2 linked regions of the Pelodiscus sinensis genome follow. Each later gene encodes a partner of the first gene's protein in a complex. Links are inferred from orthologs where the notes say so. Each region holds a gene or a part of one and is shown in the gene's direction. Other genes may lie near its edges.

Evidence for each region. The genes of interacting proteins can lie anywhere in the genome.
Region 2: the proteins of TOMM5 (region 1) and VDAC2 are in contact, whole or in part, in a cryo-EM structure (PDB 9EII), measured with the Homo sapiens proteins. The link is inferred for Pelodiscus sinensis from reciprocal best matches to the Homo sapiens genes TOMM5 and VDAC2. Residues at the interface, in NP_001001790.1 of Homo sapiens: Ile25, Arg29, Leu32, Ile33, Ala36, Arg39, Val40, Phe43, Ile44, Lys47; in NP_001171752.1 of Homo sapiens: Val38, Thr60, Gly63, Asp239, Tyr258, Gln260, Thr261, Leu262, Leu268, Leu270, Val286, Leu288.

What each region holds. Positions count from the first base shown.
Region 1 is NC_134716.1:617,022-624,253, reverse strand, and holds TOMM5 (mitochondrial import receptor subunit TOM5 homolog), read left to right. Parts: upstream 1-5,057; 5' UTR 5,058-5,137; coding exon 5,138-5,258; intron 5,259-6,106; coding exon 6,107-6,141; 3' UTR 6,142-6,687; downstream 6,688-7,232.
Region 2 is NC_134718.1:8,199,802-8,207,441, forward strand, and holds the start of VDAC2 (non-selective voltage-gated ion channel VDAC2), read left to right. Parts: upstream 1-4,546; 5' UTR 4,547-4,561; coding exon 4,562-4,673; intron 4,674-6,051; exon of another isoform or gene 6,052-6,833; intron 6,834-7,640. UniProt on the Homo sapiens protein: Non-selective voltage-gated ion channel that mediates the transport of anions and cations through the mitochondrion outer membrane and plasma membrane.

The sequences.
Region 1 (7,232 bases):
CACCAGTCTGCGCAGCTCTAGGGATCGGCCGTGCCGAATCCCCAGGGGTCGCAGCCCCACGAAGCGGCTACTTTCCCATCTGCTGTGGCTGGGCGGCTGTGAAAAGGCACAAGGACTTGCCCCGGCACAGAGTGATGAGTCTCCCTGCGGAAAAGCTCCAGGGGCCCTGCCCGTCGTGCACTTCGACCTCGCCCCCGCACGGCTGTCTCTGCTGAACACCGCAATCCAAGCCCAAAGGGGTCAGATGGCCAGCCCCCACCGAGCGGTCCCTGTGCTCTTGCCCGTGGGCTGCCGAGCTGTGGGAGGGGGCTTGCATTCCAATGGGAGCACGGGCTCCTCCCGGAGAGGAGAAAGGTCTTGCTTATCCAGAAACGTGCCAGGGCTCCAGCTCACACGTGCATGCCCTCCCTGGCTGTGCTCCGGCACCACAAGTCGCTGTCTTTTGTAGTGGCCGTGCTACACTGCAAGGAGGCACCAGGGACAGACCAGGAGAATCAGGGGGTAGCCTGTGCTTGTCTTACTCATTCGCAGCAAGGACTCTGGCTACCAAGTCTTGCAACCAGAGAGCCCGTGGACATCCCTGAGATGGAAGCACTCGCCACAGTCTTCACAGTGGTCCACTGGACATGACCCTAGAATCTAACTCAAGACACCTGAGTTCCAGGCACAGCTCTGCCACTGACCTGCTGGATGTCCTTGGTCAAGTCACTTCTCGGCATTAGTTTTCCCGGTTGCAAATTGAGCTTTGAGATATGCTGGTGTCAGTATTTCCAGTCAGATGCTGCCCTAAATCTTACTGCAGCCACTACAAAGGACGTAGCCTGTTGTTTATTTCAGGCGCTTTCTACAACAACATGTTCTATAAATTAATATATGTGGCTGTGGGTATTGGTTTAAAAATGGATTAGGACCCACAGAGGCTATAAACGGCATGATTTCAATTCAGCACTGAAGCAGACGCAACTCCTATTGAAGTCATTGGGAGCAGCACCTTCATTAGTGCTAAAACTGATCCATACTTCAGCATTTGCACCGTGGTATCAGTAGTGCTGCTTGTCTAGCAAAGAAATGGCCACAAAGTGCACTTTGGGGACGGCCCTGGGAACAGAGCACTTTGTGACATGAGAGCCTATTTCCTCTAGCAACAAACTCAATTACAACAACATTTTAGATTAAATTAGACACAAAAGAAAAAAATCCCAGGAATCTCTCCTCCCTCCGCCCAGCTTACACAGGAACCGTTCAGGGATCAGAGATGGGCAGGCAATGTAAGATCCTTCTTTATTCATTGGAGGTGGGGAAAATCCGCAGCCTTGAATTGCAGCTTTTCAGCACGACCGTAACCGTCTTTCACCAATCTTACCTAAGAGGGAGAGCCAAGAGAGCTCCCTAGAACTGGATTCCACTTGGCCGTGTTGCAAGGAACCTACGGGCCCATCCTCTGCAAGACATTTGCTTGTGCAGTTAGCCTACTGTAGCATAAGGCTTTGAGGTGTGTGAGCTCTGGCACAGATACATGGCTCAGCTGTTCCCTTGCCTCTGGGAAGAGCATGCTTACGGGGGCACTTTGTCCACAGTGATCCCAGGGACACCGAATGGATTCCAGGCGTGGACATTTCAGGGTAGATTGCTGACAGATGTTTAACTATGAAATGTACGTATGTGGTAATGAGTGAAACCCCTTCCTCTGCTAACCTGGGGTAAAAGGCAGCCCAGCGCTTTTAGGATGAGGGAGTTGGCTACAGACAAGGGACATTTGAGTGAATATTCATGACAGCCTAGAGCCTGTGCTAGGCCAGATTGCCATGTGCAGGGGGCCATTGTGCAGTGATTTGGGTCTAGACCGTTGGACTCATTGGCATGCAGGGGCGGAGCAGGTTCTTGGTGTACTGCCACTTATTCTCGAAGGAAGGGGCTGAGCGTCTGGGTGAGGAATGGTACCAGACATCATTTTAACTTGGCATTTTTGCTCTTCTTCTGTGACTTGGTGCTTTTGTGTCTTTTCTAATTGTGTTAATAAAAGTTGTTAAAACTTTGCTGGGCCCTCAGTGTGTCTTCTTGTGCACATTGGAGTCGACACCCAGCTACTGAACTGGACGACACTCGGTTTTGGTGTGCCCAATTCTTGAACTAAAATCCAACAGTCTCCCAGCTCTTTATATTAGTACTAACTGGAAATCAATCATCTATAACCACTAAAGGACTGGGCTACAAAGGGAATCAAATAGCAGTACCACTAGCTGCTATGCATCGCTTTTCATCAGTAGACCTCAAAGCATTTCAAAGAGGAGGTATCATTATCCCTACTTTCCAGACGGGGAAACTGAGGGTGGGACAGGCAAAGTGCTTTGTCCAGGGTTGCCCATCAGGTTAGTGGCAGAGCTGGGAAGAGACCCCAGGCCTCCTGTGTGCCAATCATAGAATCATAGAATCATAGAATAATAGGACTGGAAGGGACCTCGAGAGGTCATCGAGTCCAGCCCCCCGCCCTCAAGGCAGGATCAAGCTCCGTCTACACCATCCCTGACAGATGTCTATCTAACCTGTTCTTAAATATCTCCAGAGAGGGAGATTCCACCACCTCCCTTGGCAATTTATTCCAATATTTGACCACCCTGACAGTTAGGAATTTTTTCCTAATGTCCAATCTAAACCTCCCCTGCTGCACTTTAAGCCCATTACTCCTTGTCCTGTCCTCAGAAACCAAGAGGAACAAATTTTCTCCTTCCTCCTTGTGACACCCTTTTAGATATTTGAAAACCGCTATCATGTCCCCCCTTAATCTTCTTTTTTCCAAACTAAACAAGCCCAGTTCATGAAGCCTGGCTTCATAGGTCATGTTCTCTAAACCTTTAATCATTCTTGTCGCTCTTCTCTGTACCCTTTCCAATTTCTCCACATCTTTCTTGAAATGTGGCGCCCAGAACTGGACACAGTACTCCAGCTGAGGCCAATCTAGTGCTCTGACCACTAGGCCGTAAAAAAGCATAAGGAGGTTAAAAGTGAAATGCTGAAATCCCACTGAGACCCCATTGGCAGGCTGTATGCCCGCTCCCCAGACAACTCCATGCCACGCTGACCATGCTTCCAATGAAGCCGAAGAAGCAGCCCCCTCTGAGTATGATCTGATGCATCCGCTGGAGAAGTGATATGTTCCCCGAACTCCCTGGGGGTCAGCGTTCTGCCTCTGCAGCATCCCAGGCCCTGCCAGGCGGAGGAGTGAGAATGAATAATAGATAACAACTAATTGCACCGGTGTGAACCTGCAGCTGCATTTGCTCTCTGGGCTCTGTGGAAATTGCTGATATCATAAGCAATGAGAATGCTGCTTGAGCCCCCGCGGTGAATTACTGCCTTGAATCCACTCCAGAGCTGACTGTGGTCCTCCGCGGGATGGAACACAGAGCTAATTGGAACAAAGGAGCCACCACCCATATTGATTTCCTCTTTAGGATGAAGATGGATATTGGATTTAGTACGACAGCACGGCTGCTGTTAGGCCAGACCCCACACATGACAAACGCCTGATGGATCCTGCCAGTGCACCCCTCAAAGACAGGCTGCCTTGCGGAGGTAACAGCCAGGTCCTCTGCCCCGCTGCACAGCCCGGCCATACAGTCCAGGCCCTGCTGGCTGGAGACCCTGGAGCGGGTGTTGGGACCCACATTCTGACAGCTAGAGGAGTGGTGACAAGGCTCACCAAGTAATATGTTGGAGCCCACTTGGTAACGGAGCTGGCCAGTGTCGTGCGCCTGTTTTCCCTCTGGTACTGTTCTGCCTCTTTTATTCATCTTCTAGTTTATATTGTCATGATTCCTGGGGGCGGGGACCCAGGTTTGTAACGGATGCCACTGCCGCCTGCCCTTAGCATGGGGAGCCTTGTCTGGACCTGCCGGGAGCCAGCTCCCCATCTCCACTGGCCATGAGCAACACAAGCCCTGCTCTCGAGGCCTTGCAGGCCCTGTTGCTACGCTGCAGGCTAACAAGAGGCCTGCTCCAGCCCTCAGGCGTCTCCTGGAGCATCCATCCTCCGGCCCACTGGACACCTGCCTCATTCACAGATTTGCTGCCCCCAGAGAAACAGGGCACCCAGCCTACCTGAGCTCATGGCCCCACGCCAGGTAGGACCCACACTGAAAAGGGATGGAAGACAAAGATGCCCTGTCACCTGCGGGAGAACACTCCTCCCATGCTCAAAGGAACCCCGCACCTCCAAGGACAAGCGTGGCGGTTCCATTCATGACTGCGCTCGGCACAACACGTCGTGGTCTGAACGAAGTCACTGGACTTGCGGCTCACTGCGCCAAGCGGCAACACACCAGCCTCTCGTTTGCTGCCCTACTGACAATTCACCGACATTTTGGCTCTGGTGCAAGTCTCCATCCCAGACAATTATTAAGTCAGGGTTGGCTATTCTTCTAGAGCTCTGCTCGGGGAATTAGTGCGGGGCTGTGCTCTGCAGGTCAGCCTAGGCGATCGCAGTGGTCCCTTCGGGCCTTGGCCCTACCAGTAACCCAAAAGAGCCCGTTTGAGGTTGCGTCCCCATTCTCCTGGCTAGGTGCACAGCTGGGTAGCGCAGGCTGGCAACACGGGGCCTTGGCGCTGCAGTGCAGCTGCCAACCCCTGGCGCGGCGAGTCGGCCACGCTGCAGGCGGCACCGTCGGGGCCAGGTGGAGCATCTCGACGCCTCCCGCTGGCACCGCTGCTGGGGGCCTCCCCGCTCGCTGCCACCATGCATGCATCCCGGCCCGCAGCCCTGCCCCCTGGCCCCCCGCCTGCCTCCCGCCCTGCCGAAAATGGGGGCAGACGAGGGGAGGGGGCGGGGCCTCGGGGAAAGGGCGGGGCAAGGGGTACGGTTCGTGCCTGCAACCTCCCCCCCGCCAGGTGGCGCCAGCGCTGCCGACTCTACGCTCTGAGCCCGGCCCCGCGCAGCTATGGGCAGCGGCGTCACGGCGGCTAACGCGCATGCGCAACGCCGCTCCGTTATCACGTGACCCAGTGCCCTGCGCAGCCCCGCGGGGAGGGGCGGGGCCTGAGGCCGCATGTCCCGGCCGAGGAGCCGTAGCAGTGGGCGGGGCCACAGCGCGCGCCGCCCCGCAGAGCGACCCGGCCGCGGCCCGAGCAGCCCGGCGCCGCCATGTTCCGCATCGAGGGGCTGGGGCCCAAGATGGACCCGGAGGAGCTGAAGCGGAAGATGCGGCAGGATGTTCTCAGCTCGGTCCGCACCTTCCTCCTCTACGTGGCGCTGCTGCGCGTCAGTGAGTCACGTGGGAGCGCCCCCCCCCGCCGCGAGCCGCGCCCCCCTCCCCCCCACGTGGGAGCGCCCCCCCGCCGCGAGCCGCGCCCCCCACCCCCACGTGGGAGCGCCCCCCCCGCCGCGAGCCGCGCCCCCCTCCCCCCACGTGGGAGCCCCCCCGCGAGCCGCGCCCCCCTCCCCCCACGTGGGAGCCCCCCCGCGAGCCGCGCCCCCCTCCCCCCACGTGGGAGCCCCCCTCCCCCCACGTGGGAGCCCCCCCGCGAGCCGCGCCCCCCTCCCCCCACGTGGGAGCCCCCCTCCCCCCACGTGGGAGCCCCCCCGCGAGCCGCGCCCCCCTCCCCCCCACGTGGGAGCCCCCCTCCCCCCACGTGGGAGCCCCCCCGCGAGCCGCGCCCTCCTCCCCCCCACGTGGGAGCGCCCCCCCCCCGCCGCGAGCCGCGCTCCCCTCCCCCCACGTGGGAGCGCCCCCCCCCCCCCGCCGCGAGCCGCGCCCCCCATTCAGACCCTTTGTGCTGTACACAAGATCTAAGCCTCACTTCCCTGGCACTAGACAGATCTCAATGTATAGCGTAAAACGCAAGCAATGTCCTCCTCGCTTCCAAGCCTCCTTCATACACCGCAAGATGCCAAGTGCGGGTGCGTGGGCACCTTTTTTCCCTTCTCTGCAGGTCACCTTTCAAGATCGTGCTTCAGTGTTCTTGCTAATGTGTTCAGGTTCATGACTTACTCAGTGAGAGTTCATCCATTTGTTCACAAACAGCAAGTTTAGTTTTCCTTGTGTGATAGGCAGAGCAAACCATAATCCCGTGTAACTGAACATCTATATCTTGGTTGTATGTTCTTTTTCAGCTCCATACATCTTAAAGAAGTTGGATAGTATATGAATGCAGAAGAGCCGCAAAGGCTGGGTACATGGAAATGCAAAAAGGACTGGCTGCTTTTCTTGGTTAACAAACAAGATGCAAAAGGCAGACTGCACATAAAAGAATGGATCTAAACACTTCATTTAAGCATATTTGACTTCGAGAGAGCAGCAGCCTAGCTGGAAGTGTGGAAGCTGGTTATTGTCCTTGTGATTGAGTTCAAGTCATGTAATACTTCCGCGTGGCTGCATGTCTCTTATTTGTGCTGGTACAGCCTTTGTCTGGTGTCCAGAAATTACATCATACTCCATTCATGTAAGAAGTATTAAGTGCAAACACATTTCTTTGTTCTGGAGCTACCTCTAAAATACCACAGTGCTATGGCTGTCAATCTTACTGAACTTGTCTCAGTGTGAAAAATGAAGTTATTTGGGTCCCTAATCTCCATCTAGAAAGCTGTTAACTTGAATCCAGTTCTGACTTATTTTTGTTGAAATAAAATGGTGATTCTGTGATTTCAGGCACGATTCTATTGCTTTATTTTTAATAAATCTGATTATAGTTGAAGGCTCATGGGTTCTTTTTATTCCCACCCCCCACTAAAGCTGATCAGTCCCAAAAGGCTTTCTGCTTATGGAGTTGGGCTGTGTGGGGATTGGGGAAAGCAGAGGCGATGGGAAGGATAAGGAAAGGCAATGCTTGTATCTTTGGAGGAGGCTGGGTCCTGAAATGTTTATAGTCAACAGATGAGACATAGATGGAGAAATAGTTTCACAAAGGACATCTATGTAGCTCCCTCCTGGAGCACTATGGTCCCCTGATATGATAGAGTCCATTTGCTCCTCCCTCCCATGTAACTCTCATTCCAGGGCCCTTCTTTCTGCTCTTGGGTTGATGGCTGGTGTCAGGCCCTGGATTACTGGTCAAAGAGCAGAACTGGATTCTCAGTACACCCTGCCTCTGCCTAGTGGAGAGAAGAATTACCATGTGCCACCTCTAGGTTATTGCAAATCAGGGCTAGCTGCATTTTAAAAGGAACTAACACAAGCCTGAAGTCATTTGCCTCAGTTCCTTTACAGACCAAACTTTTTTAAGCAGCAGCATGGGTGATA
Region 2 (7,640 bases), on another chromosome or scaffold:
GAAGACTTTCCAATAGCCCCCTCTCTCACGCACACACACACACGCATGGCAGATGCATTCCTCCCTCTCTCTCTCTCTCTCACACACACACACGTATGTAGGTACATAATTTTCCTACAGACCAACAGCTTCATTCTCTACACAACCCTGAGTGGAGTTCCCTGCTGTGCACTGAATGACACAAGTGTCCCGTGGGGAAAATAGTGAGTATATAAAGACAGTCATAACGCAGCTCCACAAAGAACTGAATTAACCTCCATTCTGGCATTTCCTAATTTTTCCAGTGCTTGAGTCTGTAACCTTACTGTTCTTTTGAACTCAGGCTTTCTTAAGCAAAATACAGGACTATGTAGCACTTTAAAGACTAACAAGATGGTTTATTAGATGATGAGCTTTCATGGGCCAGACCCACTTCCTCAGATGAGTTTTGTCAACTGTACATGGTTGTGGTGCTGTTTGACTCTTCCCTCAAACATTTTAACTGACCTGCATTACCCCAAAGTGATGTAGAAATGAATAGTTTTATTTAGAAAAGACAATGGTTTTCCAAATGTTTTTTTTACCGGGTAAAACTTATCAGATAAATATATTTTAAGATCTCCTGTGTTTTCTGCCCCATACCTCGTGCCCCCCACACTGAGGCCCAGATCCTGGAAGGCAGTTAGACACCTACCTATCTTTGAGGAGCTGGAGCTTAGCCTCTACATGCCTTTGGCGCAATGCAGTAACAACCAGGGCAAGGGATCTGATTGCATCTTAGTTAATTGCTTGTCATGCTCCATCTTCCCTGTTGCTCCCTCGATTTGTAAATTATGCTGATTCCCACCAATGTGACTCTTTTATCAATGGGTAACTTACACCTCCATTGAGGTCACCACTGAATTTTGCCCCATGGACGAAATTCAGCCAAAGTGAAGACAACTCCACGGAGGGCAGTAGGTTAGCCCCTCTTTACACCATCGGGACTTTGGCCCTGGGATTGATCCAGTGTTGGAAATTGGAATTATTGTGTAAAGGGGTTTTCACGTTAAGCTGCATGCTGATATGGGTCAGAGTCAAAGTCGATTCTGGAGCCTTGCATATAATTGCCCTCCCATCTGGATGGAGCCATGTGTTGGTAACTATCGTGTTTATATGTTCACAACTATTAAAGTGTCACTTTCATTCTGTTTTAATATTGTTTAATCTGTAATAAAGTTTTGGTCTGGGAAATGATACTAAATGACATTGGAAACAAAGCTGCATGTGCTATGTAGACTTGCTTGGGAGACAGGGGACAGCTCGGTCCCAATCCCATGGGGTAACAGACATCACTTGACCCCTGGAGTATGGGACGGACTTTGCAGAAAGTCCTTCCACTTGTACATGGAAAGGCCCCAACTGGACATACCACTCAGAGTGAGGGGGTATCCCCTTCCAGAGGCTGTGGCCCTGCCTGCCCAAAATGAAAGATTTTTGAACAGTTAGCCAGGAGACTCTGCAGGGTGGGGAAATGGAGCTGCTAGTTAGTGGTTACTATCAGGGAAAAGCCCCTGGGTAACAGAGGCTCTTGGGGAGGCTGACTGCCGTTTGGAGGAGTCAGGCGGCACCGCAGCAATTGTAACTGAGGCGAGCAGCCTCTTTTCTGTTGGGAAACTGATGCCAGGACCCCTCCAGCAGCTTTGGACGGCTGTAAACAGTAAAAACAAACTTGTTCTTCATCCGGGACGTGATCCTCTCACGCCTGATTTCTCCAACACTGCTTCCAGTCATCGAACCCAGGAACTCACTGGGTCAGCGTCCGTCCTGTCATCCCTGGGCCCCAACCTTATCTCCGCGCAAGGCAGGAGTAACAGCACCAGCCAACTCGTTGCCCTCCACCTCCCGTCTTCAGTGATGGCCTTTGGGACCCTCAGGGGACCATTCTTGCCATTGCTGAGTTGAGGGATTTTGAGTCACACAGGGAGGAAATGGTTAATTATTGCTGCATTGTTGGACATTACTCATTTTTTCCCTGATTCTCCTGCTTTTGTCCCCATTTCCTGCCATTTCTCTCTCTCTCTCTCTCCTTCAGTCCTGCCTTTCTATAAATAAAACATTGTTTATTCCTATCAGTTGGTGCTTGATTTCCTGTACTTATAAATTGTATTGTCCTAGTGGTTACTTTGGCGTATCCAGGACTGTCAATCACTGTGTTACTCCTGCCTCAGCAAGACAGAGGCCTAGCTGGTGCTAAACTGGGTGTTAGCTCCCAGAAGCCCCGGATCAAACAAACACCTCCGCATTCTGCCTGCCTTTGCTTTGCCTGCGGCTTAATATTTGATGCCCTGTGGTTCCCGGGCTTCTCTAACAGTCCTCCTGTGGCATCCAGACAGCTAGGCTCTGTCTACACTGCAGCACTGTTTCAGGATACCGGAGGCATCCCGAAATAGCTATCCCGTGTCTTCACAGCAAGCCCGTTACTTCAAAATGTAATGGGCTCACTATTCCGTCGTCCCTGTAACCCTCATCCCGCGAGGAGTAAGGGATGTTTCAGGACAGCGGGTTATTTGAAAATTTGGTGCTGTGTGGATAGTGTCAAATGACGAAATAAGCTATTTCAAAATAAGATGGAAGTAAGATACACAATTTGAGCTACACAAATTGCGTATGTTATTTTGACCTAAGGTGCAGTGTAGACGTATCCCCATTGGACACGCACAGTACCTGACAGCTTCACTAATCCCAAGGAAACAGGATACACACAGCTTGACTAGTACAACTCATGGTCAGTCCTTTATACTATTCCACCATGGATTTATAGGGAATGAATTGTACATTTCCTTTCAATTTTTCTTATATACCTAGTATTCCTCACTCACTATCAGGGACTTAAACCTATTAATAAAAAGAGCCACAACCTCCGTCTTCACAGATCTGCATGCAAGTTTCATTAGAGGCTCCAGTCTAGGAGGTGTGTACAGCAATGTCTTCTCCAGTCTTTTCCATCCATGTGTGGATTTTTTCTATCCACATGCAGAATATTTTTTTATATGCACCGAGGCATTGGTGAACGTGCACCACCAGTGGAGACAAAAATACGAGCTATGGGTACAGGCATGCCCTGATGTAAAAGACATTCACAACAATGCAACTGAATCATATAAACATGCAAGAGATGGCCTGCAAAACCTCATTTTTCACCTGAGAATACCACGGGATTTGGGGACAGCCCTTTCCAACTTCCTTAGATTGCAGTGCCTCAATCCTACAAATACTTAAGCCCAGGTGTGACTCTACTCCTGAGAGTAATCTCATCAAAATCAATAAAACTCATGAGTAAAATTACACGCCTCAGTGTTTGTAAGGGCCAGCATTCCCCTGTAGCCTTTCCGGTGGAAACCACTGGCTAGCAAGAGAGTAAGTGTAGTAGCTGGGTGGGTAGCTGGGATGAACGTAGTCAAGGGAATGCCATTCTTTCAAATACTACTCCAAGTAGGAGAGCCACCTCCAGATGAACCCTTACAGGCCCTTAGCATTGCACGAAGTAGGGCAAGACTTGCTGAAGTAGCAATCCCTTTAAAGCAGCACCTAGTACAGACATATACTAGGGAAAAGGATGTTTTAACCCATCATAATCAGTGACCATACCTAGAAAATAGAAAATACCTCCTGCCATGCCAGGAACTTTATGAAGGACTTGACTTAGTAGCCTAGAAGTTTCTCTCTCTTTCTGTGGCCCTTCTCTGGATAGCTGTACAGAGGTCTCACCTCCTCACAGTGTCCTCAAGTCACCTATTTTTCCTCATTTGTTAACTGGAGGATATTGTCCAGTACTTCGGTCTTAAATGTTAGTTGCACCTCAGTCCATTAGCAAGTCTACCTGATATAAATCTGACTGCTCTCTGACGTGCACTTGGATCTGCAGGCACCAAAAATAAATAGCTTCTGAACAGTAAATGTAATCAAAGAAACAGTAACAGATTATGAGAAGTGTGATCCCAAGCCTGGAAATCAATCCCAAATTTCAGTCATATCCTTTCATGCTGATCCCTCACTGTGGCCTGAGGGAAGCTTCTTTAGCTCCCTCCTTCAGTTTGCCCTATCTGTAAAATGGGACTAATAGTATCTCATGAGGGTGATGTGAGGTTTAATTAGTGAACAGTTGCAAAGCACTGAGTACAATTAGTGCTGTATAGAACTCAGGCAGAAATGAGACCCAGCAAAACTCGAGCACAACAGAGGTTAACACTTTTACTAACTACTATTTCAGGTGCAAACTGTTCTGCACATTTGTTTACATCTCTCAGATGTCATTACTCCCATTTCAATGAATTAGGGACACGGGGCTCTTTTTCTGAACCAGCTTTCCTATGAGCGTTAGATTGGCAAGGACATTTAGTAAGTTGAATGTTCTTAGCTTGTGTTTTTAACAGAACCTCTTATGCCCTATTAAAGCAGAAAACTCAAAGGACCCCTCCCCTAAAAGGCTCTAAAATAGCTCCTCCTATAAGGGCTAAAGTCCCATTCATTTAGCCACCCTTGAGCCTTAGTAAAACAGAGTGTATAGCAGGAAGTTAAAGCATAGCAGCAGTGTTTGCTTATGGACTCGTTCCTTGAGGCACAAGGGGAAACCTCCAGGGAGATGGAAATCCCACCAAAGAGAAAAAAGAAGAGAAAGCATTCAGCCAGCAAAGAAAAACACAAATGTGCGAGTAAGTACAAGTTTAATCATGCGCCCTAGGTTGGCTGCTATCCCCTTCCCTTAGATCCTTAATTTTCTCTCTTGCAATTGAATTCTCTCCCCCCCCCCCCCAACTTTTATTTTCTTGTTATGAAAGAATAAGGAGCTTTGGGATTGACTATGTATGAGTGAATAATTGGGAACTTGCAGCCACCACCTGCAGAGATGCCCTTTATAAAGCCAAGTACAACCAGAGGGAGTTCAGTGTCCTTTACTCCAGTGATCCTATAGACTAGAGAGAAGGGCACCTAGACTTCCCCCCCCAGCTCAGGACTGCAGACTTTCAAAGTGTTCCAGGCCTACCATTGGCATGACTGTGAGCATAGCCATTTCCTACATGTGCATTTGTGCACATTCAACTAGTGCAATGCCTGTGTGGATGTTCTGCTTTAGTTTTAAGAGTGACTTCTTTTGGTTTATTTCAATCCTGTTCCTAACTGGCTTAACTAGAAAGAAGCCTGGAATAAGAACGTTTGCACCAATGTCTTGAAATTGGTTTAAAATCACACTGCAAGTTAAATGGGGACAATTCAATGTGTGGGCAAGTCCTTGGCAGAGTTCTGGCAGTTGCTGTATTGTTAGGGGAGGGGATTTGGCATTCTTTGCTCCCCAGGTGGGGAACTTAAGGCCTGGCGGCTAGATGCAGCCCTGGGCTTACCTGGATCCAGATCCCGAGGTTCAGGGTCTGCCCCCAGCACTGGGGAGCCCACATGGGCGCTCCAGCCACTCTGCAGCCCCATTGCAGGGCTGGAGCACACAAAATCTACTAGGCTGGGCCCCCCAGGCTCTGGTGTACCAGGAGAATGTGGGGAAGCATCTTTCTCCATCTCAGTCAGGGGCCACACCAGTGAGGGTCTGGTGGGGTTTTTTTTTTTTTTTGCTTCTTACCTGTGTGCGGGCCCCGACTGATTTGTGTGTGGGTCAGTGGTCTCTGACCCAAAAAAGGTTCCCCACCCCTGCTGTATATGTTGTGCTCAACTCTTCATGTCCTGGGTTTCTAACATTCGATAACTGGTATCTGCAGAGTCCTTGCCTTTTTTTTTTTTTTTTAGCTTTGATCCATACAAAATGGTGATGGTTAAGGAATGTAGGCTGGAGGAACTGGCTGGCTGGCACAGATAGTGGAGGAAAGCTAATATAGAGAAGAGAATAGGGGTGGGGTTTTGACAGTGGCTCAGACTCTGAGAAAACAGAGTTATGAAGCCAAAAGAAGTTGCCTATCACAGTAACCTTTGCTTTCCAAATATACTGAGTTCCACAGTAACCCTCCTGCCCCAATATTCTGAAAACTTAAAGGATGCATCTGTAGCTAGAGAGAAACTGAGGGATGGATGCATGGGTTTTTATACCGTTAACAAAATCCTGACACAAAACCGGAAGGGTGCAGTCTTGCTTCAGCTTTGGTCTTTATGTTGATTCATCACTGTTTCTGCAGGATGGGACGGTTGTTTCTTACATTCTCTGATTTCTAAAAATAAAACCAATCAATTTTTTTTAAAAAAAGAAGCATGGTTGCTGGTATATGGAACAGAGATTTGTTCTTAACTATTTTTTGGTTTAAGTAGTGGACTTGTGGCTTTAAATAATGCAGTGTGGCATAAATTGTATAAGTTCATTTTGTATTCGACAAGACATCTCTTTTCTAGTGAATGTTCCAATCCACTAATTTCCTCCTCCTATCCCTCTTCCTGTCTCCCCAGTTGCCATTCATTCCTTTCTCCTGTGCATTTGGTATTAACACACTAATACGTTTTCTCATGTCCAGTACTCATCATCTTCATTTAAATGTATTAGCTTGTTAGGTCCTCCAGAATGTATGTATTTATGCTGGACCTGAAAACTATTCAGTTCACCTCTGCATATCATTTATAAAAACAAAAATATGCTGGACCTGCTGGCTCAACAGCTGCTCTGTTTTCCACAATCCACCTTTACTGCCCTATATTCTGATAAATTATATTATCATATAGTGTATTGATTATACTCTCTTGTGGAACCTAATTTTAAATGAAAGAGGCAATACTATTAGAGGGGACTAAAAACCTTAGAACAAGCTGTGCCATACACAGTTCCTTGGCCGAGCGAAAATATTGTATTGGTGACTAAGCAGTTTCTAGTATCAGAGGGGTAGCCGTGTTAGTCTGAATCTGCAAAAGCGACGAGGAGTCCTGTGGCACCTTATAGACTAACTGAAGTGTAGGAGCATAAGCTTTCGTGGGCAAAGACCCACACATGCATCTGACGAAGTGGGTCTTTGCCCACGAAAGCTTATGCTCCTACACTTCAGTTAGTCTATAAGGTGCCACAGGACTCCTCGTCGCTTAAGCAGTTTCTGTGGTGGGATTTGTCATAAGGCATGATTACAGAGACTGGTGCAAACCAGTCATGTGACACTCAGTCTAGCCTTGCTTTCCATTCTTAGAAAAGGATCACCCCAGGGACCAGGACCACTGTAGCAGGGAAGGAGGGCAGCCCGGGATGGTTTCAGTGGGGAGTTAGGGAGGTGTGCAGTGCACAAAAAGGCTTTGGCAGCTGTGGTGAGGAGAACTTGTGCACCGGGGCAGTGGACATGAAAGGGTGGCAATGAGGGATACAAGTACAATCCTTGAGGCACATGTAAGTTTTAGCTGCCTAGTGGTACCTCTTATGTTGCTACCAGAGGCAGAATTTAGGAAAGCACCATAAAACACACTGGCTGCGTCTAGATTGGCATGATTTTCCGGAAATGCTTTTAACGGAAAAGTTTTCCGTTAAAAGCATTTTCGGAACAGAGTGTCTAGATTGGCATGGCCGCTTTTCCGTAAAAGCACTTTTTGCGGAAAAGCGTCCGTGCCAATCTAGACACGCTTTTCCGCAAAAAAAGCCCCGATCGCCATTTTCGCAATTGGGGCTTTTTTGCGGAAAACAAATCTGAGCTGTTTACACTGGCCCTTTTGCT